2 linked regions of the Caenorhabditis elegans genome follow. The protein of the gene in region 1 purifies or fractionates together with the protein of each later gene. This does not show direct contact. Each region holds a gene or a part of one and is shown in the gene's direction. Other genes may lie near its edges. The genes, in order: ZK899.3 and tag-276.

Evidence for each region.
Region 2: the proteins of ZK899.3 (region 1) and tag-276 fractionate together in Caenorhabditis elegans (co-fractionation; one large-scale study listed by BioGRID). This does not show direct contact.

What each region holds. Positions count from the first base shown.
Region 1 is NC_003284.9:9,448,765-9,461,279, forward strand, and holds ZK899.3 (uncharacterized protein), read left to right. Parts: upstream 1-4,383; 5' UTR 4,384-4,522; intron 4,523-4,567; 5' UTR 4,568-5,194; coding exon 5,195-5,490; intron 5,491-5,536; coding exon 5,537-5,694; intron 5,695-5,780; coding exon 5,781-5,896; 3' UTR 5,897-6,212; downstream 6,213-12,515. Other genes in the region: ZK899.7 (RNA-directed DNA methylation 4), read right to left, coding at 1-149, 225-338, 579-635; ZK899.2 (DUF7802 domain-containing protein), read right to left, coding at 1,521-1,739, 1,786-2,139, 2,186-2,291, 2,459-2,710, 2,758-3,083, 3,127-3,228; tba-8 (Tubulin alpha-8 chain), read right to left, coding at 6,798-6,845, 6,909-6,976, 7,128-7,251, 7,329-7,401, 7,447-7,544, 7,591-7,689, 7,810-7,881, 7,931-8,038 and 4 more; ZK899.5 (C2H2-type domain-containing protein), read right to left, coding at 11,147-11,881, 11,931-12,037, 12,085-12,169.
Region 2 is NC_003280.10:12,244,543-12,256,326, reverse strand, and holds tag-276 (uncharacterized protein), read left to right. Parts: upstream 1-7,184; 5' UTR 7,185-7,248; coding exon 7,249-7,644; intron 7,645-7,924; coding exon 7,925-8,005; 3' UTR 8,006-8,202; downstream 8,203-11,784. Other genes in the region: parn-2 (Target of EGR1 protein 1), read left to right, coding at 902-1,366, 2,620-3,157, 4,161-4,364; Y57A10A.24 (EB domain-containing protein), read right to left, coding at 8,792-8,873, 9,067-9,411, 9,901-10,015, 10,076-10,185, 10,845-11,051, 11,252-11,386.

The sequences.
Region 1 (12,515 bases):
AGAGATTCTTCAAATTCTTCCATGTGATCTGTTTTGGCATTAATTGTTTGATTTTGTTCATCTATTGAAGAGTCATCCAATTCAAAGTTCTCCGCTATTTCATCGAATACTTCGTCATCATCTTCTAACCATCGCCGAGGAAAGTAAAACTGCAATTATTCTCTCACAAAAATTTAATGAGTTCTTAAAAGTAATATAACAATATTGAAAATTCAAGAACATACCACAGCTCCATGCCTGATTCCGCAGATGCGTTTGATGTAGGAATCAAAAAGTTTCCCGAAGTAGTCGAACGCCCACATAACAATTAATCCTAATGTCAACTTGCTTCTAACAGCCTGAAATTGAAAGAGACAAAGAAATAAACATTGAGATATTAAGCATAGGCTGTTCACATCAATGCAACTAGGAATTTACAAAAAAAATTCAATCTTTGAAACGATTCAGTTGTTTCTAACTGCGTGCGTGCATGAATATTCTTTAGAATTCTTAAAACAAAAGCTCAATTTACCTAGAAAGCGCCAGCATTTTTTCAATGTAACTCAGCAACTACTTTCAAACCATTTCTTTAAACTGACCATATACTTCTCTGCAAATGCATCCATTCGCTCCACAGCACTGTGAAGCATCTCCATCCCATGAAACCTTTTTATTGATTCCATACCTGAATTTAAAAAATATAATCAATAACTGAAAATGAAAAGTAAGACAAGGTGCGCGTAAATGCATGGAATGAGGCAGTTAGAGAGTGTGAGAGCGTGACACATTATCCTCGTGGCCGAGTTTGCTGAGAAATATTTGAGCATGTAATCCGACGGATATTGAAAATCAAAGAGCAATTTCAAATTTGAGTGTTGTTGCTCAGCGATTACAGACAGATATTAATAAAGTATCAAATAATCTGGAATGTCCTGTTTTGAATATTATTTTTCAGGCCAGTTAATGATGTTGGGTCGTAGAAATGAAATCATGTAACGATGTAAGAAAATGAAAACTATCGATTTGAAAGAATTAAGAACAAAACCTCTTGCCGTCTCAAGCCCCAAATGGATCAGAAAATAGCTACGGTTACAAAATAAATTGAAAAGAAACCGAGCAAAGCTCAAACGCTGCCTGATTACTCAACAAAAGTCGATTTGATCTGAGCTTTGAACTCCCCAATGGATGAAGTGAATAGGCCTGACAAATTTTCCTTTTTTTGATGTACAAATAATGTTTAAAAAACGTAGCACGCGTATTTTTTACCTTCAACTTCTCTGACACAGGGGGTTTGTTTTTTTGGCTGGTCTACAATATCTGCAGATATTAATTTTTCTTGTTTATGGCTTTATCGGTAGCCTTTTTTTAATCAAATTAAACTGCAAACTATTCTAACATGCTCAAAACACTTTGTGCATAAATCTGATATATTGTTGTCTTTTAAACTGTCACTTCGCTGTATTTTGTTCCAAAAGTATATTATGAAAATATGACAAGTTCATTTGAAATACACATAAGTAGAAAATTAAAAATTTGATTCATTACTTGGTCTTTTTAGATTCAGTATTTTTTTGGCTGGAGACACGTTTCTTGAGTTGCTTAACTGGATCTTTTGGAGTGACGCCAGAACAAGCTGCGATTTGATACCAAATACAGCTGTAGAGAATGCAGATGAACCAAATGATGAAAACGTATTCTGCTCTGTTCTCGTAGTCTGTTCCACACACCGCGTACCATTCCAACGGCACACCTGGTTCTGGCTAAAAAATGTTTTGAATTCGTAACTAACTTCAAATTTTATATTACCTGTTGCGGTGGTCCTCCTGGCACACAATGGAAATCGATGTACTTCTCATCGTAGTTGTCTGTACAGAAATACTTCTGCTTTTGAAGCACAAGACCAGTCGGAGTTTGAACCTTCTGAGTTTCATTGCAAGGTCCAATTGGTTGATGGAGTCCATCACTGACAATACTAACTGGATCAGATATCAAAACGGCAATCATGAAGAAAAGGTACTCAATGGCAATTGCCGCCGCAAGTTCATCAAACCAATACTTGTTTCCAACACGAGAATTTTCATTTTTGTTCCTGCGATCCGCGAAAATAACTATCAATGCATAGATGGAGAGAAATGCAATTGTTGTGTACTCGGAATGAACCTGAAAATTTATCGTTCCAGAAATTTAAGACGGATAATCCGGCTACCTTGAAAATGTCATGAAGTGGGTGGTAAAGAAGAGCAAATTGGATGGTTCCCAGCCAAAAAGCTCCCATTCCAGCAAACACGATGCAAAGGATTTCTCTCGGAAGCCTGGAAAAATTATTCGTTAAAATATATACAAACAACGAAGCACTTTGGCTTCTTTCTTCAAACTATTGCTAGACTAGTTTTCATATAAACTTCTTAAATCTAAAAACCAGGTCTTAGAAAATTTCTGATGACTTGATTATTTACTTGATTACTTTAGTTGAACTCACTTTCTCCAATCATACTCTTTGTCAACTAGCTTATATCGAGAATACATAAGAATCCAAGTGAACGAGCAAGCAAACGATGCGTGGAAGTAATACGAGTTCCAAGGTACCCAGTTCATTCTATCGAAAATGTTTGGATCGGTATCGTGCCACGTCCACCAGACAAGTTTGATTCCCATGATATCGTATGGCATGTCAAGCATTACTGCTCCAAGACCTACTGCTGGGCCGTACGCCCACCATGGCAGATGAAGTCTGAAATTTGAAATTATTGATTATTTAAAAACTGTCACATATCTTACCTGCTCATAAGAACAAACGAAGTGTAGTCGAACATATGGTAGATACCGATGAGGATGTAGAGAGGAGCGCGGGCACCGAAGAAAGTCAGAATTCCCTGGGCCTGCCAGAAATTGTCCATATCCGGAATCCAGTAGCAGAGGTTTTCCACGTTGAGTGCATGGACAAGAATTCCAAACCATACAAGTACAAATCGTGTTCCAGATCGCCAGGCATGTGCAAACGTGAGTCCGGCAAGAAGGAAGAACAAGATTTCACCAAATAAAAACGATGTATGATTTTCGTATATTGTAGAGACCGGTTGGTACTTGCAAATCCAATCGAACCACTGAAATTATTTTCTATAAATGATTTGCTAGTTAACAAATTACCTGAATAGCATGTAGAGCCCGTTGGCCCCAAATTTTGCGAGACTCCGGCCCCACATCAAATGGCAAGTTGTCAAAGACGTATCGGTCCATCAAGTAGTCCATGTCTGGAAAAATTATCTTCAAAATAAGAATCGTGAATGAGATATATAAACAAAAGAAACGCAAAAAAGATAAAGTTTTCGAGATCTGCAGGAAAACTATTGTTTAACTTTCACAATTTACTAGTAAGTGGAAAATAATTATATTTCAACTTTGAACAAATTGAAGTTTTAAATTCAAATATGCATTATAAAAAAGAATAGCGTTGCTTTTCTCATGACTCATCGCCGTAAACAGCCAAGACAGGAAAGTGTGCACTGTTTGTGATAGGGCGTCCTTTGACCAGTTGACCTCGATCGATATGCAGGCTATGGGCACAAATGTAAACATAACAAGTACATGGCTAGCAAAGGTAGAAAGAGAACGGTCGACGGAGTAAATACGACGAGGATGGGTTACTTTGCTAATGGAGGAAATGACGTGGCAAGACACCATCCTTATACAGAAAAACGAATTCTTCTCCCGCCGTGAAGGAATGTCCATCATATTTTGAAAAAGTATATTATTATTATTACTATTATAACATTTCGCTAACAAACTTTAAATTTAAAAAAAATGATTGAGCATAATTTTGAAAATGGCCGTTCGAAATGAATAAATTAACCAGCACGACTAACGTTTTCCCAACTAAATAGCTATTTTCTAGAAGCACAATTTGTTATCATTATACAACTTAATGATAACAAAACGAATGAAAGACCACAATTTGATAACTATGTTGCACATAGGTAAGGGTTAAAAAGTCGTCAGCTAGTCAGAAAGGAGAACGACAAAATGGTCAATGGACGTTGCTATTCCGTGGCAAATAAATATTTGTGTGCACGATGAAGGAGAGACCGTTCCGTTCGTCTCTTGGACCAGAACAAGGAGGGACCTTTGTAAGCAAACAATAACTGGTGCAATGGCATTTATTAGGGTTGGATTAGGCTGAACATTATTGCTTTATTCGAAGGGAATGTACGAATTTATATCAGTATCCCACAATCAATTTTCAAGTTAAAAAATGTGCTATGTCGAGAACGTTTAAAGTATTTGCTCCCTTTTCTTCAGCATTGCCGAGAATTGACTTTCACGTGTGTCACGTGCGGAGGACACTATTTTTCAAAATCCTCTACATTATGTGGATTTGCTCTTAAATTTACATTTTATGATTTTTCAGAGTGCCTAAAAATCGAGTGGTTATCTTTTTGAAACGTGTGATTGACAGAGAATATCACTGGAAAAAACGTTATCGAAAATAATGTGAGCAGAAAAGACTACATAAATAGCATAGTTAATGTTTGAAACATAATTGTCGGTAAGGTTCGAAGCGATTTGTATTTTGAGTATTCCAAAATTTCAGGCCATCATCCACTTCATCTTCCATGAATTCAGTTTTGAACAAAATGTGCAAAGAGTAACTTTTTATCGAGTCCACATTTTCATAGAAGAATCATGCAATAGTGCATATACGGTATTGAAAAAAAATCTAAAATTAAATTTAAATGACCTTTATTAATAAATCTTACCGGAAATACGTTCGAAAAAAAATTTGATCAAAATTTTCATATTCATAATATGCATCAATTTCCGTATAATTGCGAATCTTATTAATACTGAATTTTAAAACTTGATTCTAATCTAAATGAACGATAAATAAAATATTCGAAAATGAGGTTTCACAGGTTTCTGAAATTTTTTTTCTAGATGTTCGAAACATCATCATTTTTTGCCAACTAGCTTTTTTATTTGAAATTACACTTCAGAAATGTATTCACCTACGAAGGTGCTTCCAATCCAGCGTAAGACAATTTAATTTTTTATTGTAGTTTTCGTATGATGAAATTTATTTCTTCTATGTAAATTTCGTACAAGAATAAAGAGGCGGTGCCATGTTGCTTGCCCGTTAAAAGTTCATCCTACTGCTGTCAGATCCTATTTTTTTCAAATTTGAGATTTCAATCTGAAAATTCGTTCATATCAAGTGAAAATGTCTTCACGGCCATCAACTAACCTGGCAAGAATTATTGCTTCGATTAACCTACAAGAAGACGATGTGGTCCTTACTCCGGACCCATTGGCTTTTAATGGTCAAACAACAATGCCTATGTTCGATTTCAATCAAATTCCAGCTCCGAATTTGGAAGACAGTGTTGACAGAAAGGATGATGAAGAAGAGTTTTTCACGGCCTCACCTGGTTCCAGCAATTCAGGTTCAATGGTGGATGTTCCACTTACTGTAGAACTGCTCACTTCTGACAGCAAATCAACTACTCCGAGACCCAGGTAGTGATTTTAAGATGAGGCTAAATAACATTCTAAAAATCTTAAGAATAGCGTGGGCTATCCCAAATGCGGCACATCATAAAGGTAGCAGCAAACATCAGAAGCAGTCAAAGTCTTCTCGGACTTTATTGAAAAAGGAGGAACGTTCGAATAATCGTTTGACAAATGTTCCAGCTGCAGCTACGTTTGAACATGACATCACGTGTAAGTCAAATTGGAGATATTCAATTTTTCTCGAAAAAAATAGAGACAAAAAAGTAAAAGCGAAAATGTACTTTTTTGTGTTTCAGCAGATGGATTAGATAACTGCCCGGAGCGTGAACGGAACAAGAAGCGAAAGCTGAAAAGACGACAAAATGGCAATGATGAGGGAAGCAGAAAATCTGAGAAAGAGAAAATACAGTGAAGAGCAGACGACCTTTTGAGACAACATGAACTATACCCGACACTTGAAGGACGTCTACCTTGCATAAATTCACGATTTCAAACCGAACCCTTCTCACCCATAAACACAAAACCCTTTGTGACGCATATTTTTGTTACTTTCTCTGTTCAAATTTTCTGCTTTATGTAGTTCCAATTTTTCAACATATTTTAGCAAAAGTTTTTTGTATTCCGGATAATGTCTCTACTGTATCCATGATGCTAATTTTGTTTGTTAAGAATTTTACATTTAATATTGTATTTTTCGCTAAGTCGAAGTATAAAGTGTCATCAAATTTTGATTTCAAAGACGTTAAAAGAAACAGACAAATCGTAATACGTTGGTTCGAAATCTTTTTTTAAAACAAAGTTCGTTCAGATATTTTAAATATAAAAATTAGTAAAAACACTCATGCACAAAAACCTTATGTTTGATACAAAACGCTCAATTCAATTTTTCTTTAATTTTTAATTTTATCAGTAATTTCTGTTACTGAAACTGAGAGATGTGAAAGGTTTTTATTATTTGTAAATTGAATTTAACTTGTACTACCAAATTTTCGCTTATTAATGTGCCAATTACTGGTTTATAATTTTTTGTTATGATTACCAACAAATTTTCATTGAGCTTATATTTTTAATTTAATGATTGACATTTTTTAATCAAAAAATAAGTAATAAAATATTAATTTTCAGTCTGTAACTGCACCGCAAACATATTCGGACAGCTGTATTGCATACTACACTAAAACATACGGTAAGTTTTTTGTTTTGAAGTTTTAAAGGTCGGGCATGATTAGAGTTAGAAAAACCGTTATTAAACTTTATTGAAATGGTTAAACTTTTTCATATTGACGTATTAATTTGCATTCTTATAATTTTTCTTAGAACTCGTCATTCTCTTCTTCCAAATCTGCAGTGTCTCTGCTCACCTGAAACAATATTCCGTAAATCACTTGTAAATTAGTTGTATTTTGGGATTTTTCCTCACAAACCTCTGCATAATCTTTTTCGAGAGCAGCCAGATCATCACGAGCTTCCATGAATTCTCCTTCCTCCATACCTGAAATCAAATTTTGCCTCGTTGAATTTTATTTGATGTTTTCAAATGTCCCTACAATTATGATAAAGAATCTACTACGGAAATTGTATTCTCTTTCGCATCATTTTCCAAGATTTCTTCAAAATGTTTCTGTCCTACCGTAGTCACGTACCTTCTCCTACAAACCAGTGCACAAATGCGCGCTTCGAATACATTAGGTCAAATTTGTGGTCGAGACGAGCCCACGCTTCAGCAATTGCTGTGGTATTGGACAGCATGCAAACAGCACGGTGTACCTAAAAAAAGCATTTCAATTTGAGTTTTGAGAAATACTAAGAAATGAAACATAAACTGCATGTAAAAAGTATTTCACCTTTGCAAGATCTCCACCCTCGACTGTTATTGGGGCTTGGTAGTTGATTCCGACTTTGAATCCAGTTGGACACCTGGCATTTGTAATTCATCACAGTACATTAAAATTGCAACATTACCAATCTACAAAGTTGATTCCTCGTTTTGCCTTTACTGACGAAATAGCTGCGTTGACATCCTTAGGAACGACGTCGCCGCGATAAAGCAAACAGACCGCCTGAAAATATTAATGTGCAGTTGAGTGTCATTTATATTTGAGTTACCATGTATTTTCCAGCACTTGGGTCACATTTCACCATCTGATTAGCCTTTTCGAAACACATGTGAGTGATATCTTGAACTGACAAGGGTTCGTGGTGAGCCTGAATGAGGTTATCGTTTGCAAAAAAGCTTAACTTGTAATACTACATCATGTCATTTTATGTAGAACGGATTCATTAATTGAAATTATAATTGAAATAAATTGGCTGATGCACTCTTACCCTATCAGCTGAAATGACTGGAGCGTAGGTAGCCAGTGGAAAATGAATTCTTGGATATGGAACCAGGTTTGTCTGAAATCACATTGTCACCGTCGCTCTATATTCAGTTTTTTGTTTTCACCTGGAATTCGTTTAAATCAACATTCAAAGCTCCGTCAAATCTTAGCGAAGCGGTGATCGATGACACAACTTGGGCGATAAGACGGTTGAGATTTGAGTAGGAAGGTCTCTGAGATTATTATCTTCAATGCATCGTGAATAATTCCCCTCTCACCTCAACATGAAGTTTTTGACGACAAAGGTCGTAAATCGCCTCGTTGTCCACCATAAAAGAGCAGTCGGAGAGCTCCAATGTTGTGTGAGTAGTCAGAATAGAGTTGTAGGGCTCAACGACAGACGTGGAGACTTGTGGTGCTGGATACACACTATAAAGTTCGGATTTACGTCTGGTGGTACAAAGTACTAAAATAAACCTGAACTCCAATTTACTTTTCTTTCCAAATTCCACCGAAAGTCGCTCCATTAGAAGAGAGCTGAACCCAGATCCAGTGCCTCCACCGAAAGAGTGGAAGACGAGAAATCCTTGAAGTCCCTCACAGTTCTCAGTCTGAATTGATGATTTTTATTTTCTAACCCTGCTACATTACACTCTACAGTATGTTTTCTCTTTTTAAATTTGCACTCTGAAGATGCTTAATGGTATTTTAGTCATTCAGATTATTGTTGATTCCTCTTTTCATTTCTCACTCCGTTCATTTTATTTCGATATTTTATTTGACAACAAAATTGGACTGAAGGTTATTGAAAACCACTAACAAAGATATTTCTGTAGTTGTGGGCAATTTTCTTAATTTCTAGTAAGGATAATAAGTATATTTGAAATAAAATAGAAAAGTGTATATTTTCCAGCAGTTTTCATCTGCTTTCCAATATTTAATATCTATTTCAATAGATGTTCCTCATGGTCCACTCTCAGTGAAAAAAGTTTGATTTGTTTTTTGAAAAAAATGTTAGAAACTGGTTGCCGAGTAAACTTAACCTGACGTATACATACAGGTAGACTCAGCAGCCACTAGGAAACGCTGCCGCAACTTTTTAGCAGCTACTCAGCAAATCATTTAATAGATTTTCTACTAAAAAGATGGCACTGAATACCGAAAAAGTTCTTCATGATTTTTTAATCAGACATAACCATTCCGTCACCGACCTGTTTTCGAATTCTGTCCAAGACCACATCAATGAGCTCTTTTCCAATAGTGTAGTGCCCTCGTGCATAGTTGTTGGCAGCATCTTCTTTACCATTGATAATCTGATCAGGATGGAATAAGTTACCATACACCCCATTTCGTATCTCATCCAGCACAGTTGGTTCCAAATCCACATAAATCGCTCGTGGCACATGCTTCCCGTTCATCGACTCCGAGAAAAATGCTTGAAGTGATTGCTGTTTCTTGTTTTTCTCTTCCTCCTTTAAAAATCCAGCTTCATCAAGACCATGTTCAATACAATACAGCTCCCAGCAAGCATTTCCAATTTGAGCACCAGCTTGACCAATATGAATTGAAACGCATTCTCTCTGAAAATGTTTTTTTGATAAAAGAAATTGAAATAAATAAAATTGACTTACACCATCCGAAGGCATGTTTTCGCGGATTTCGGCTCTTGTAACCTACAGTTTCAAACTGTCCAACTAAAATGGAAGGTCGTTTCTTCTGATTTTCAACTCAGATTAGCAGTTAAATTCACGCGTTATGTCAAAATACGGGACGATCCGTATCTCCCTTCTTTTTTTCGAAAACACCGCAAAAAGTTTCCACCGCATTTCGAAAACTGATAGCTATCTGACATGCCACGCTAAATCGAATTTAGGTCAAAAATTCAATACTGGAAAGAATTCAACAGTGAGCAGGAATGTTTTGAAATCAAAACCAGAATGAAAAATAGGTTTACAAATTATTCTATAGACACAATAGAAAATAAGAGCCATATACGAAATTTTTAAATTTTTTCTGTATCCTAAGTTTCCACTTTGAACATATTTTCTACATACAACAAGAACCAACGTACATAAATACGATTTGCCTGTTTCTTTTAACATCTTTGAAATCAAAATTTGATGATACTTTTCTCGAACGTGCAAAGCAGTCAAAATTGTTGCCCATTTTGTGCCAAAAGTAAATTCCGGAATATCACGTGTGTTCAGCTTGAGAAAGTAGTCTTTCGGTGATTTTTTTTTTCTGTAATCTTATTTTATGTCTTGTTCTAAAATTTGTCTCGATTTTCTGAAAATCGTTTATGTTGATTCATCTTACCGATTAAATGATAGGCAACAACGTACTTGCAAGCACACCTATGGAAATAATTGCAAATTTTAAAAGATAATTATTTCATGACTATTCTGAACAGTAATTAGAAATATGGGAAAATGAACAAAACAATTTAGGTCGTATATTGGGCAGGTATCAAAATTGTTTTAGGTGCAAGTTTTTTAGTCAAAAAAATTCATAGAACAAGAAAATCGCCTTGTTGCGTTTTTTGAAATGCATAATTAATATTATTATTTATTTTTAGACACGTTGTTCTGTTCCCAAGCCACATTCAATCCATAAAAGGAACTCAATTGAAAATTGAACACTTTGATCACAAACAAAATGCTCCCAGAAGATCCACAACCATTTTCTGGATCAATTGCCCCAATCAGTACGCCAAGTGCTCCCGTTGCCGATTTGGATTAAAAATATATCATTCAGCTGTGTTTTATTACTTACTTGAACATGAATAATAAAATTCAAAACAACAATACATTTCAAAAAAAAATAGGTGCAATAATTAGTTGATGTTTCTTTGGATTAGTTGAATAAAATTAGGTAGAATTGTCAGCAGTTTTCCTGTTTGTTCCTCTCTTGCAAATTATACACAGTATAATTGGAAAGTTATATTTGTTATATCCTCCTTTTTTCCAAACAATGCATTGAACAATCTGAATTTACTGACACAAACCAAAAAAAAGAGGATTGGAAAAAAAGGTTGTTGTGACATGTCTCTTGCCTCGGTCTATAGTTTTTGAAAACATTTTAATTAAAAGAAATCAAGTTAATTTCATTTTATGAGACTTTATTGGATAATTGAGATGAGAACTATAAAGCAGGGAAAATCAAGAAAAACATTTCGTCGATGAGATCAATGAGTGAACAAATTAGATGAGTGAACAAATTAGAATTGGTACAAAAATGAAACAAAAAAATCAGAAAAGTATTTTTCCGAGCTATTTCGAAATTATTAAATATCTATCAGTTTAGCAATAGATAGTTGTGAAAATTAATCAAGTTTCAATGTTTTAGATGGCTTCAACATCAACCATTTCCTCGTCATATTCAAACGACTCTTCATTAAGATCCTCATCAGCAGCGTAACCAATCTCCATACTTTGATTATTGATATCTTCTCCGTCGTCCAACTCATCAGAATCATACTCATCCCAATCAGATTCCTCCACCTGTCCATCCTCTGAAACATCGGAAGTTTCTGTGTCAGTAGCGTCTTCCATGTGATCAATGCTTCTGGACATTCTTTTAGTTGGGAAAGAGTAGACAATACTTCCAGTTCTTTCATCTTTCTGTTTCTTGATCAAATAACGAACAAAGACGACATCAATCATATTCGAAACGTCAATCATGTAATCCTGGTACTTTTCAATGAAGTACTCCGAGAGTTCATCGAAATGAAGATCAGGTCCAACAGGCTCCAAATTTGGGATAACTCCTTCGGGCAATGGCTGCTTTAGATCCTCTCTAATTTGAATGATGCGCTCATCAGTTTCAAAGTACTGGAAGAGATTACAGAGACTATCATATGAAGTAAGCATGTTTCCAAATAGAGCTTTTGAATTTTGAATGAACGTTGAGTACTCGGATTTGTAGTTCGTGCATTGTTTGGAATGAATAATCACTTCGGCTTCTTCGTTGAAACGTTCCATACACATTCCACACTTCTTGCACTCAGATGCTTCATACAATTCAGAAACACGTTGAGTCATCATTAAAAGACGATTTCCGTGCATGTGCATGTGATACTGAAAGTAGAAAACAATTGAATTTTAATTTTACAAAGATTTGACTTACATTCAAATCGCGTTTTGCGTTTTCGAGACATTCATCAATATGCTGAATAAATGGGATTTCCGAATCGAACTTTGAACTGCAATCTGAGCACTGTAACTTGTGGATATCTGAAGAAACGCTATTAGTCAAGAAATTGGATTAGGTTGTAGCTTACTCAAGAAACTGCGACAAGTGTTGATGTTTATTGGAGTTCTCCAAATGTCGAAAATTCTGTGAGGAATGCTAGTGACGGGAGTCATTCTGAAAATTGTCAAATTAGGGCTGAAATTAGGATTTTAAACAATATTATGAATAAAAGAAACAGATACTAATACAACAAACAAACAGAAAACTTTTAAAAAAAAGTCAATTATTTGGAACAATGATTAAACTGTTTCAGATCACAACCTGACATTCCAAAACGAGTGAATGAGGAATAACTGACTATATTGGTTTACACAAACTGGTAGGCTCCACCCTTTTACCAGCAATATATTGGTATCGATTGTTCATTTTAGCGTCCCATATCGTCTCATAGAGCATCACATTGCCACATACTGGATCACGATGTGGGAAATTTCACATGGTAGTCTACCAACAAACAGA
Region 2 (11,784 bases), on another chromosome or scaffold:
TGAAAAATCAATATTTTTATTTGGAATTTAAAAAATCGATTTTTTCGTGAAATTTTTAAAAAAAAATCGATAACTTTGTTTTTATTTAAATCTACAAAAATCAATATTTTTAATTGTGAAAATCGGTAGTTTTATGAAAAAATCTAGGAAAATCGATAATTTTAGTATTAAAAAACTGCGAAAATCAGAAATTCCAGGATCGAAAAATTAATTTAAAAAAATCAATAATTTCGTAAAAATAAATTTGGAAAAATCAATAAATTCGTAAAAAAAATCCGGAAAAAATCGATAATCTCTTTTTTAAAAATTTTTGGAAAAATCGATAATTTTAGTATTAAAGATCTGCGAAAATCAGAAATTCCATGATCGAAAAATTAATTTTCAAAAATTAATTAATTCGTTAAAAAATCCGAAAAAAATCGATAATTTATTGTAAAAAATCTGCGAAAATCAATAATTCCATGATCAAAAAATTAATTTAAAAATCAATGAATTCGTTTAAAAAAATTTCGTTTAAAAAATCGATAATTTTGGTTTTAAAAAATCCGAAAAAAATCGATATTTTCCTTGGAAATTTTTTTGTTGGAAAAATCGATAATTTATTGTTGAAAATCTGTAAAAATCGATAATTTCCTCGAAAAATCTGTAAAAATCGATAATTTCGATAAAAAATTTTTTTTTTGGAAAATCGTCATAATTTCGTAAAAATTCCGAAAAAAAATCAATAGTTTCGTTTTAAAAAATCTGAAAAAAAAAATCAATAATTACCTGAGAAAACTGTAAAAATCGATAATTTCGTAAAAAAGAACCTTTTGAACTTTTTTAGAAATCGATAATTTTTCGGAAAAAAATATGTAAAAATAAATTTTGGAAAAATCAATAATTCTCCCACCTTTTCCAGAAGCATTCTATCCGTTGGAATCGCCACAATGAAGCTGACGCATAAAAGTGAAAAACGTCGAGCTCTTCGCTACGAGACCCAAGTTTTCAATATTCTCACATTCTCAGAAAAACCATTCACAATTGAACCATCGGCTCTTCAATTTCTCGCCAAACATTCTTTCGATTTCAACAGACTTATTCAATCAGGAGTACGATTCCAGGGAGCCAACTGTCCATTGAAAACTCTTTTCCGTGAGCTTCTAGGCTCATCGGCCACCTTCTGCCTTCACAATGGATTTATTGATTTGGCATTTATCTATAAGCAGTTATATGATATCGATTTACCTGACACTCTTGATGGATTCGTTAATAATTTGAGTGATATGTTTCCGGATAACTATCTGCCGGTGGCGGATTCCAAGTATTTGGCAGAGTATCAGACGAGAATGACTGCCTCTTTTTTGGAATATGTGTTCCGGAGAACGTATGTCAGAGAGAAAATTAATTTTTTTTTGAAAATTGAAAAAAAAATGTTAATTTGAAAAAAAAAATTTTTTTTGAAACAATTATTTTTTTTAAATTAATTTTTTAATTTTTCGAAAAAAAATTCTTAGGCTTAACAATTTTTCGAAAAACCGGTTTTTTAAAATATTGTTCTGAAAATCGAAAATTTTTGAATTTTCAGCCAATTTTTTGAACAATTTTTTTCAATTCCTCTGAAGCTTCAAATCCAAAAATTGCAAAATTTAATTTTCAGTCATACTTCAAGTTTAAAATTTGAAAAATCTCATAAATTCCAAAAAAAAATCATACATTCCAAAAAAAAAAAATTGAAAATTTAATTTTTCTGGGCAAAACTCTCCAAAAAATTCCAATTTTCTCCCGATTGAGAAAATAAAAAAATTTTGGCCAAATTTTTTGAAAAAAAATGCAAAAAAATCGTTATAATCAAATTATTACTGGCAAAAAATTAACATTTGAAATTTCATAAAAATTCTTGACAAAATTCGAAAATTTTGAATTTCCCGCCAATTTTTTGAAAGTTATTTTAAATATGTCAACTAATAAAAATGATTTTTTTTTAAATTAAAATTTTCGCAATTTTTTTTGAACAAATTAAAAAAATGTTTTATAAAATTTCTGACTTTCACTTTCAACTTTTCGAAAAAATTTAAATTTCCCGCCAAATATTTGAATAAAAAATAAAAAATTCAGTTTTCCTGCGAAACTTTTAAATTTCAATTTTCAATTCCCACCAAAACTGAAAACATTTAATTTTTCGTTGAAATTTCCACTAAAATGTTTGAACTTTCGGCATAAGTTCCAAAAAACAAATCAAAAAAAAATTTTTTAATCCAATTTTATCCCAAATAAGAAAAAAATTAAATGTCGGAAACGTGCTAGTTCACGTGGTGTCAGAGTGTCTCATTTCGGCTTGATCTACGTAGATCTACAAAAAATGCGGGAATTGCTAAGAACGTGATGACGTCACATTTTTTGAGCAAAAAAAATCCCGCATTTTTGTAGATCAAACTGTAATGGGGCAGCCTGGCATCACGTGGCTAGTTGGGAAATATACAAAAAATTCTTTAAAAAATCGAAAAATTAAAAATTTAGCTTCTCGGCAAAACTCTCCAAAAAATTCCAATTTTCTCCCGGTTTAAAAAATAAAAAAAATTTTGACAAATTTTTTGAAATTTTTTTTTCAAAAATTCAACAAAAAATCAATAATTTCAGGCAAGGAGACAACGAGATCGAGCGTCAAAATAATCGATATCACATCGAAATTTGCTTCCCAAGCTCTGAAAAGTCGATAAAAGCTCTAAAAAACGCTACGGAAAGTGTAGATGTACGTCTTCCAGAAGGATTCCCAGATCACGCGATTCCCATCGATCTTCACATCCACGTGTGCAAATATTTCGCGTATCACGGCTTCTGCCACGCTCGGAACACTGAAAAAGGATGTAAACTGCTCCATGACGTGGATACTGCTATCGATTTACAGAGGATTAAGGAGAATAAGAAGGCGTTCAAACGAAAACGGAGATATAATAATGTGATTGCTGAATCGGTTGCCGAGAAGACGGGCACCGATGAGGAGGCATGGAAGAACGCGAAATTTGAGCAGAATTTGTTGACTCGAGACTTTCGGGAGCTCAAGAGAAATGTGGTTACAGGGCTGCATCGGGCTGGAGTTGATGCTTTTATGACGGCTTTTGCGGTGATTTATCAGCAGAGAAGAACCCTGATGGCTGATAATTCAGTTGATTTGAAGGTGCTTTTTGAAGAGAAGCATTAACAAAGATTGTTTTTAAAGTCATAACATCTATAGGAAATTAGCCGAAAAATTCGAAAAATTTTGTGCTTTTTGAAGAATAAAAGTTTAAAAATTTATAGGAAATTAGTCGCCGTAAAATTCGAATAAATTCAGCGATTCTGAATTTTTTTAGTACTGGATTTGCTTAACTTTTTAAAAAAATTTAAAGATTTTCCCCGAAATCGCCTGAAATGTTCATTTCTTAAAAATCTCAATTTCTGAAAATTTGAAATAATTCGGAATTAAAAAATATTATAAATTTTTGATTATTCCTAAAAATTTTAAAAAAATTAATATCTGAAATTCCCTTAAAATTCCTAAAAAATTTCAGAAAATTTTAAATATTTCTAAATTTTGAAAAATTCCTTTTAAATATTATACATTTTTGAGGCTTCCAATAATTTCACAAAATTAAAAAAAAGACAATTTTTGAAATTCTCTAAAAATTCAAAAAAAATTTCAGAAAATTTGAAATAATTCTAAATTTTGAAAAATCCCTTTCAAACACTTTTTTAAATTAATAATTTCTTAAAATTTATAGAAAGTCTGATATTTTTCGGAAATTCCAAAGTTTTCAGAAAATCCCAAAAATTTACAGAAAATTTCAGAAAATTTTAAATAATTCTGAGATTTAAAAAAATCCCTTTCAAACATTTTTCTCAAAATTTAGTTGTTTCTAAAAAATTTTTAGATCGTCTGAAATTCTTCGGATATTCCAAAAAATGTTAGAAATTCTCTGAAAATTCCAAAAAAATTTCTGAAATTAAAAAAAATCCCTTTTAAATATTATTAAATTTTTGATGATTCTTAAATCTTAAAAATTTTCGGATAATATTATAAATGTTGAAAATTTATGGAGAGTCGGAAATATTTATGAGACATGATTTTTAATTTTAAAAAATCTTGAAAATTATAATATTTACAAAAAAAAATTTAAAAATCGAATTCTTTCAATTTTCAGTTCCTAAACCGCGTTCCACTGTCCGCCAAAGATAAGCCATTGCATCTTCGCCACCGACCGGTCCCAGTTCCACAATCCGAGCAAATTGATGCTCATTTGGAGGCAATGGTGGAGATCAACAAGCAACGGGACTATATTCGAATGAATGCAGCCGCTACAGTTATCAAAAGTGTTCAGAAAGAGGATACACCTTGTGAAGATTGAATAATTTATTTTTGAATTTTGATTTTTTTTGTTGTTGTTGTTGTTATTTCTGGTACGTTAAATCCCCATCTAAATACAATTTTTTGGAAATTTGAAAATTTCCACTTTTTCTCGGTTATTGATGTTCCCCCACCTGATCTTGATTGTTAAATTCACATTGTTTCGATTTCAATCCATTTTTTTAAATTTTTGTTGTTGTTTCCAACCTATTTTTTTCTGAAAAATAGACTTATTTTGAGTTCTTTGTATATTTTAACCGACAAATTCGCCCTGGATATTCGCCGTTTTTTGAAAATTCAAAAATTTCGGAAATTTTGAAAAATCTGACAGTTTTTTTTCAATTTTTAATTTCGAAAAAGTCCAAAAACTCTAAAAAATGCCAAAATATAAGAATTTATGAAAATTCCAAAATTTTCGAATTAATTTTGGAAATTTCTGTTAGGATTAAAATAACTAGTTAACGTTTCTCAAAATTCTGAAATTTTGAAATTTCTGAAAAAAATTTTAAAACTATTGAAAAATTAGATAGCTCAAATTTTTAAAAAATTCCGAAATCGCCTGAAATTTAGCTTTAAAATCTCAATTTCTAAAAATTCCAAAAAAAAATGTAGAAGAATGTGATAATTTCTGATAAATATAAAAATTTGAAATTCGCTGAAAATTTCTTATTTTTCCTATGTATGCGCAGTTTTTCTTCAGAAATAAATACAATTGCTATCAAAGAAAAAAAATAAAATGTAACTTTTTTTCGGGATTTTTAAAATCCGAAAAGTTCCAAAAACACATTTGAAATAATATAAATTCTCTGAAAAAAGGTGGAGTGAGGCTGTCCCATTACGGTTTGATCTACGAAAAATGCGGGATTTTTTTACCCAGAAAAATGTGACGTCAGCACGTTCTTAACCATGCGAAATCAGATTGAAAACTCTGCGTCTCAACTCCCGCGCATTTTGTAGATCTACATAGATCAAACCGACACCACGTGTAAAAACCCATAAAAATAAAAATTTTCAGAAAACACCAAAAGCTACAAAAACGGACAATTCCCAAAGAACCAAATTCGAAAAGCCTTTAGAAAAATCAGAAAATGTATAAAATTTCTGAAAGTTCCAAAAAACTTCTTTAAAATGCTGAAACAATTTCGGAAGATTCCAAAAAAAATACCTGAAAACCCATAATTGCAGAAATTTTGAAAAAGTACAAAAAAAAGTAAAATGTAATATTAGGTTGGTCAAAAAGTCTTTGCAAAATTCGTATGTTTCTTCATTTCTCAGCGTTAACTCGTTATTTTCCTATTCTGTTTTTTTATTTGCATAGTACGTAATGTGCATGTTTAATACATTTGAAAAAACTTTTGGGTGTTGTTCAAAATGACCGAGAATTTGCTCGCCGAAGGTCACACCCTCCGAGGGGTTTTCTGTATGGGTTCCCCCAAGGCTGCAATTGCAACGAAGCTCGTGGTAACATGTGTGCAGTGTTAGGCAATAATTCTGTCACCTATAATACCATAAAGTTTTGGTTCGAAAAGTTCACGAAAAAGAACTACGATCTCGATGATGAACCAAGATCCGGTCGGTCTCGTTTGGCTATCAATAAGGATAATTCGAGAGCCCTGGAAGATGATCCAAGAGCAACGAACCGTGAACTTTCTGCGACTCTCAAGCATCTCCAAAGAACCATCATCAACCATCTCCGCGAAACCGGAAGGGTAGAAAAGTTCGGTCATCTCGTTCCTCACAATTTGTCCGATTCTCAGAAAAATTGTTTTGTGACCTCTCTTTTTCGCTGCTCACTAGGAAACGAACAACAGACTGGGTATAGGATATCACTACTGGAGATGAGAAATGGGTATTGCATGTTAACTATACCAGAAAGAAACAGTGGGTCCCGGTCGAGGAAACCGTGAAACCTGACCTCAAAGGGGAACTTCAAGAGAAAAAGTGCTTCTCTAAATTTGGTGGGACAGTAAGGGTGTAATTTTCCGAGGACTTTTTCCAGACTCCGTTACAATCAACGCTGGCCTATACTCTATTCAATTGGAAAAGATGGTCCGTGCTCATCGATTACATCACCCTAGAGAATCAAAATTTAGGCTGCTCTATGACAACGCAAGACCGCATACAACTTTGAGGACCCGCCAGAAGCTCCAGACACTCGGAATCCAAGTTTTGTCTCACCCACCGCATTCGCCGGACTTGACTCCTACTGACTACCATTTGTTCCGCTCTCTCCAGAATCACCTTACCGGGCAGAAGTTTCATGATTGAAAGATCGTCGAAACGTGGTGGGACGACTTCTTTGCCTCCTAATCTCAGGAGTTCTGTGCGGAGGGTATTGCTCAACCTTCGTTGGGTTGGCAAGAAGTCATATACACTAATGGTGAATATATTACCCATTGAATCTCGTTCGCTTTGAATAAATACTCTCTCCAAAAAAAATTCAAAAAGTTGCAAAGACATTTTGACCAACCTAATAATTTATGCAAATTCCAAATTTTCTAAATACTCCTTCTTTAAACATTCCGTTAGAATTAAAGTATCCAATTAAAATTTCTGAAAATTCCAATATTTTTAAAAACTAAAATCTGAAATCCCCTAAATTTTGACAACTTTTTTCCATGTTCCTCAGGGAGAACCCTCCCTTATTTCTCAAACAAAAATGTACGTATGTACCAAATTTATATATTCACAATCGTAAACCAATCAATAACCATTGTTTCCTTCTGCTTTCCCATTGCCACGTTGCATAGCCCATTCCCCCCCGCCCATATATCGATTTTTTGTTGTTGCCAAATTGCAGCGTCCTACAGGGTTAGGTCTAGGTTAGTGTCATTCTTAACCACATATCTCAGTTCTTCTCTCACCTTTTATTTAACTCATTCTAAATGCCATCTCACACCAAGCCGGTCTCCAATGCTGCTCTCCCAAGAGTCCCAGCTCCACTGAGCCCTGCTCAACAAGTCAGAAAATACACTGACTACTTGCTCAAAGAGCACAACCGGTACTATGCACTGGAGTGTCTTCTCTTCCTCGACTGCCCGATTCGAGTATTCCGGGAATGCCGTACCGAGCAAATTGTCAAGAGCCAGTATGATGGACGGTATGAGTACCAGTACCCAGTCAACTTGTTGCTCCAGAAGCTTCGTCGTCTCGCTGCTCAGGAGTTGGAGCAGGATGTTGTGGAGCAAAAGATGCGGGAGGCTTCGAAGAACAAGGTGCTCTTCGCCAATGTGCTCAATATTTTTGCGGATTTGCAAAAGGAAGCGGAAAATTTCTCCAAGGTTAGTTTTTGTTGTTATTTTAAAATTTTGCTGAGAACTTTTTAATTTTCTGAAAACGAACTCAATTTTTAAAATAATAAAATAATTTTCGATTATTTTTGTACTTAAAATACCTACATATTAAGTTAAATTGCAATTTAAAAAAATTTCAAAATAAAAAATCTACACCGATTTTGCGCCGTAAATTTGGCCTGAAAAATAAAAATAAAATTTCGCACCAAATTAAATTTAAAAAAAAATTTCTAAACCTGACCAAACCACCTAAACTAATACTTTCCAGACTACAAAACAATCATCCACGTCACCATCAAGCTCCTCTTCATCCGAAGAATCGTCGGCTTCTTCCTCCCCAGTCGTATAATTTTACCAAACTTATTATATTCGTTGCCAATTTTTCATAATCTGTCATTATTTTCTTGTGTTTTCAACTAATTTTCCCTCATTTTTATTATCCAGTTTTTCAAAAAAACTAATCCCGATTGCAATGTTTCTTGTCAATTAAAACTGTACATCACAGATAAAACTTCAATTCAGTTTACTTATGTTTGCAAAAATATTCAGGCTTTAGGTTTTTAAGCTTTCAGGCTTGGACCGTTGAGCCCAGACTTGGATGCTAACATTTGAATTTAGATTTTCAGAATTATGGCTTTTGCTTAGGCGTAGGCTTGGGCTTAGGCATAAGCTTGGCGTCAGCTCTGAAAAAACATAGTCTGAAAATGCTCTCATTATCTACACACTCCAATTTTTCAGTGTTAAATAAATAAAAATTTGACTCCTAACTTTTTACATTTTTATAGTTTTATTAAAGAACTTGTTATTGTGAATCGAATGCGTTATGAATTATTGCAAAATCTTTGTTTGGCTTTATAGAGCAGTCTGAAAATGCTCTCATTATCCTAGGCCTAGGCTTAGGCTTAGGCTTAGTCTTAGACTTGGGCATAGGCTTAGGCTTAGGCTTAGGTGTAGTCTTAGGTGTAGGCTTAGGCTTAGGGTTAGGCTTAGGCTTAGGCTTAGTTTTCCAAGTTTTTGTATTAGGCTGTTTTTAAATTAAACTGTTTGAAAACATGTTCATTAGCTAAAAAAATATTTAAAAAATATAGAATTGGCACAAATATTCGAAAAAAAAAACAAAAATCAATAATTAAGCCTAATAGACCACAGGCTTCCGAATACAACATAGATAACTGTCGGTAGTGGAAGATGGTAGACACGTGTAGCCGAGTGGGCAGCTGGAATTATTTTAAAATATCGATTTTTGAACGTTAAACGTTTTCAACAATATATGTATGTTAGAATTTTTTTAATTCCGATTTAAAAAAAAATTTTAAAAAATTGGATAAAGATAATAAGATAATACTGATTTTTAGAGTTTCAAAAAACAATCGAAAAAAATTTTTTATTTTTTATTTTTCTGGAACTCACTCCAACGTAAACAGTGATAGACAACGCTGCACATCTTGATTAACATTTTTCGACGGCATATATGAAAATGGGCATGTCGGCTGCGCAATCACTTCTTCCTCTTCAATCGGCTTCTCAGTAGTTGTAGTAGTTGATGACGTCATAAACGTAAATGGCCCAATCATTGGAATCTGTGGTGGAAGGATTCGGTTCATTTGAATAGTACAACACACATAGACATCATCAATATCAGATTCTTGACACGAATATCCTGATCGAAGAATACACGGATCTCCGATATGATCACAAATGTATGGGAAGCCGTTTTCCATGAGTGGACGGGCTTCAGGGTCTTGGCAGTTTGGACTGTAATAAATATTAAGATATGATTAAGATACCTTTGATGGTTTAAAAGTAAAGTAACGCCAGTGGGGATTGTGTCTAAATACACTTAAAATTATTTCAAATGACCAAATATCATTAACAAACAGTCCAAAAATTTTTAGATTTTTCATTATTCCCGGTCAGTTTTGGAAAATTGCAAACATTTTGAAAAATATGAGCCTTTGAGGAAATCCAAAGCAATTTCGCATGTTCCAACCCCTACAATTTTTTAATACAAATAATTAAAAAAAAATTACAGTATAAAAAATGTAGAAAAAAATTTTTTTTTGGTTGACTTCCAAAATTATGAGTGGCAAAAACTGAGTAATTGTCACTTTTTGATAATAAATAAAAAAATTTCAAAAATTTTTTGAAATTTTTTAAAATGATATTCGATCATTTTGACACCAATGGAGTAGTTTTAAACACTTTCCCCTCTGGCGCTACTTTGCCTTTAATTAAGCAACCTACACAGATTCAAAAGGGTATGGTTCTGCAGTAGTTGTGGCTATGGTTATGGGAGCCTTCATAGTAGTTGTAGTGTAGTAGAATGGAGGGGGTAGAAGGGTTTTACGGCTGTTGCCGACTGAAATTTTTTTTTTTCTTGAATTTTAGTTTTTATAGGTTTAAGCAATAAAATACTCACGTCGATTTTTATACCGCTTACAGCAAATATGGGCGGTCTTCTCCTTGTTCAGCTCACAAAATGCTCCTTGTGAGCACGCCGGAAAAGCTGGGTCACATTTTTCACCGGTTCTGGAATAAGAATCAATACTGGGATTTTTTTGTAATTGAGTCATAAGCATTTCTACAGTAATCTAGACAATCAAGTACATTTGAAATTTTAAAAAAACTCGAGGAAATAAAATTTTTGGAAGTTTTTTTTGCTCTAAATGACATAAAATAGTTTCAATATACCGAATGTAACTGTAGAAAAATTCAATAGAAGCACCTAATAAAAAAATTTCGAATTTGTTAAAATGATTTTTCAATTATTCAACAATTTAAAAAACGGCCGAAATATATGGTTTGCGCGGGAATTCAAATTTAATTCGGCCGTTTCTTAGATTTTTTAAAAATTGACGAAAAATCATTTTAAAAAATTAGAAAATTTATTTAAAAATTTTCCAGATATATTTGGTCATTACGGCTCCATTTTCTGGCATTTGAATAGTTTTTAGTGTTATAAATCAAATATTTTTGCAAAATTGAAAAAAAATCGTTAAAAATTTAGAAAAATTTAGAGAAATTCCATAAATTTTTCTACAGTTATACTCGGTATATTAAGGCTATTTTCTGGATGATAAACACTGAATTAAATTTTTTGATAATTTTTGACAAACGGAAACTGAGCTACAGTACCCCAACAGTACACTATACAGTATACAGTACTACAGTACAATGTAGTAACTTACCCATTCTCCCCATTCCTACAAACCATCTCAATTCTTGAACCGAATGATTCCTCGGATGGACAACACCACATCTCATTCTGAATTTCCATGCACTTTTCATTTCTCAAACATCCGGCTGCGCACACACTTCTCGCAAACACTCCTGACGGGCATTGGGCTAACGAACAACATACACGAAGACCCGTCGGGGTTAGCGAACATTCGTAGCTGGAAATTTGAAATTTGCGGTGCAATTTTAGTTTAGAAGTTCTGAAAATGTTTAAAAATTTTTGTGAAATTTCAACTTTAATTTTCAAAAAATCAAAAAATTGATTCCAAGTTTTAGATGTTTTTCGGAAAGTTTCGAGCAAAAAAAATTAGCTCCTGGCTATTTTAAGAGCATGGCTTGAGCTGTAAAATTCACTTACCCCATCCCACATGGCTTCTTGTTACAGTCCCTCGGCACCAATCCATTCATCAAAATTTGACTTCCAACACCACAAATATCGTCAGAACTTTGACAGCATACCTCTACGTTACTGGTGCGGAATTTTGCGCAAACTCTGAAAATATAGAATTTGAAAAAAAAATTTTCGAATTTAATTTTTTTAAATTAGTTGAAATGTTAAATTTAAAGCATCATACATACAATTTTGCCAATTTTTTTCACAAAATTTTCGGCAAAAAAGCTTTTGTGGTGGGACCCAAAAATTCGAAATATTATTTAACGTTTGATTTAAAAATTTTTTTCATATTATGATATTTTGTTTGAATTCGGGGTACCCCGAAATAAATCTGAATTTTTACTTTTTTTCTATAACAGTTTCCAGGAAAATATCGGTTCTGAAACTTATCGTGGTGGGACCCAAAATGTTCAAATGTTAAAAAAATTTAATTTGTGATACAAACAGTTTTATGCTTTTGTTCAAATTTACAAAATCAAAATCTTCAATATTATGTG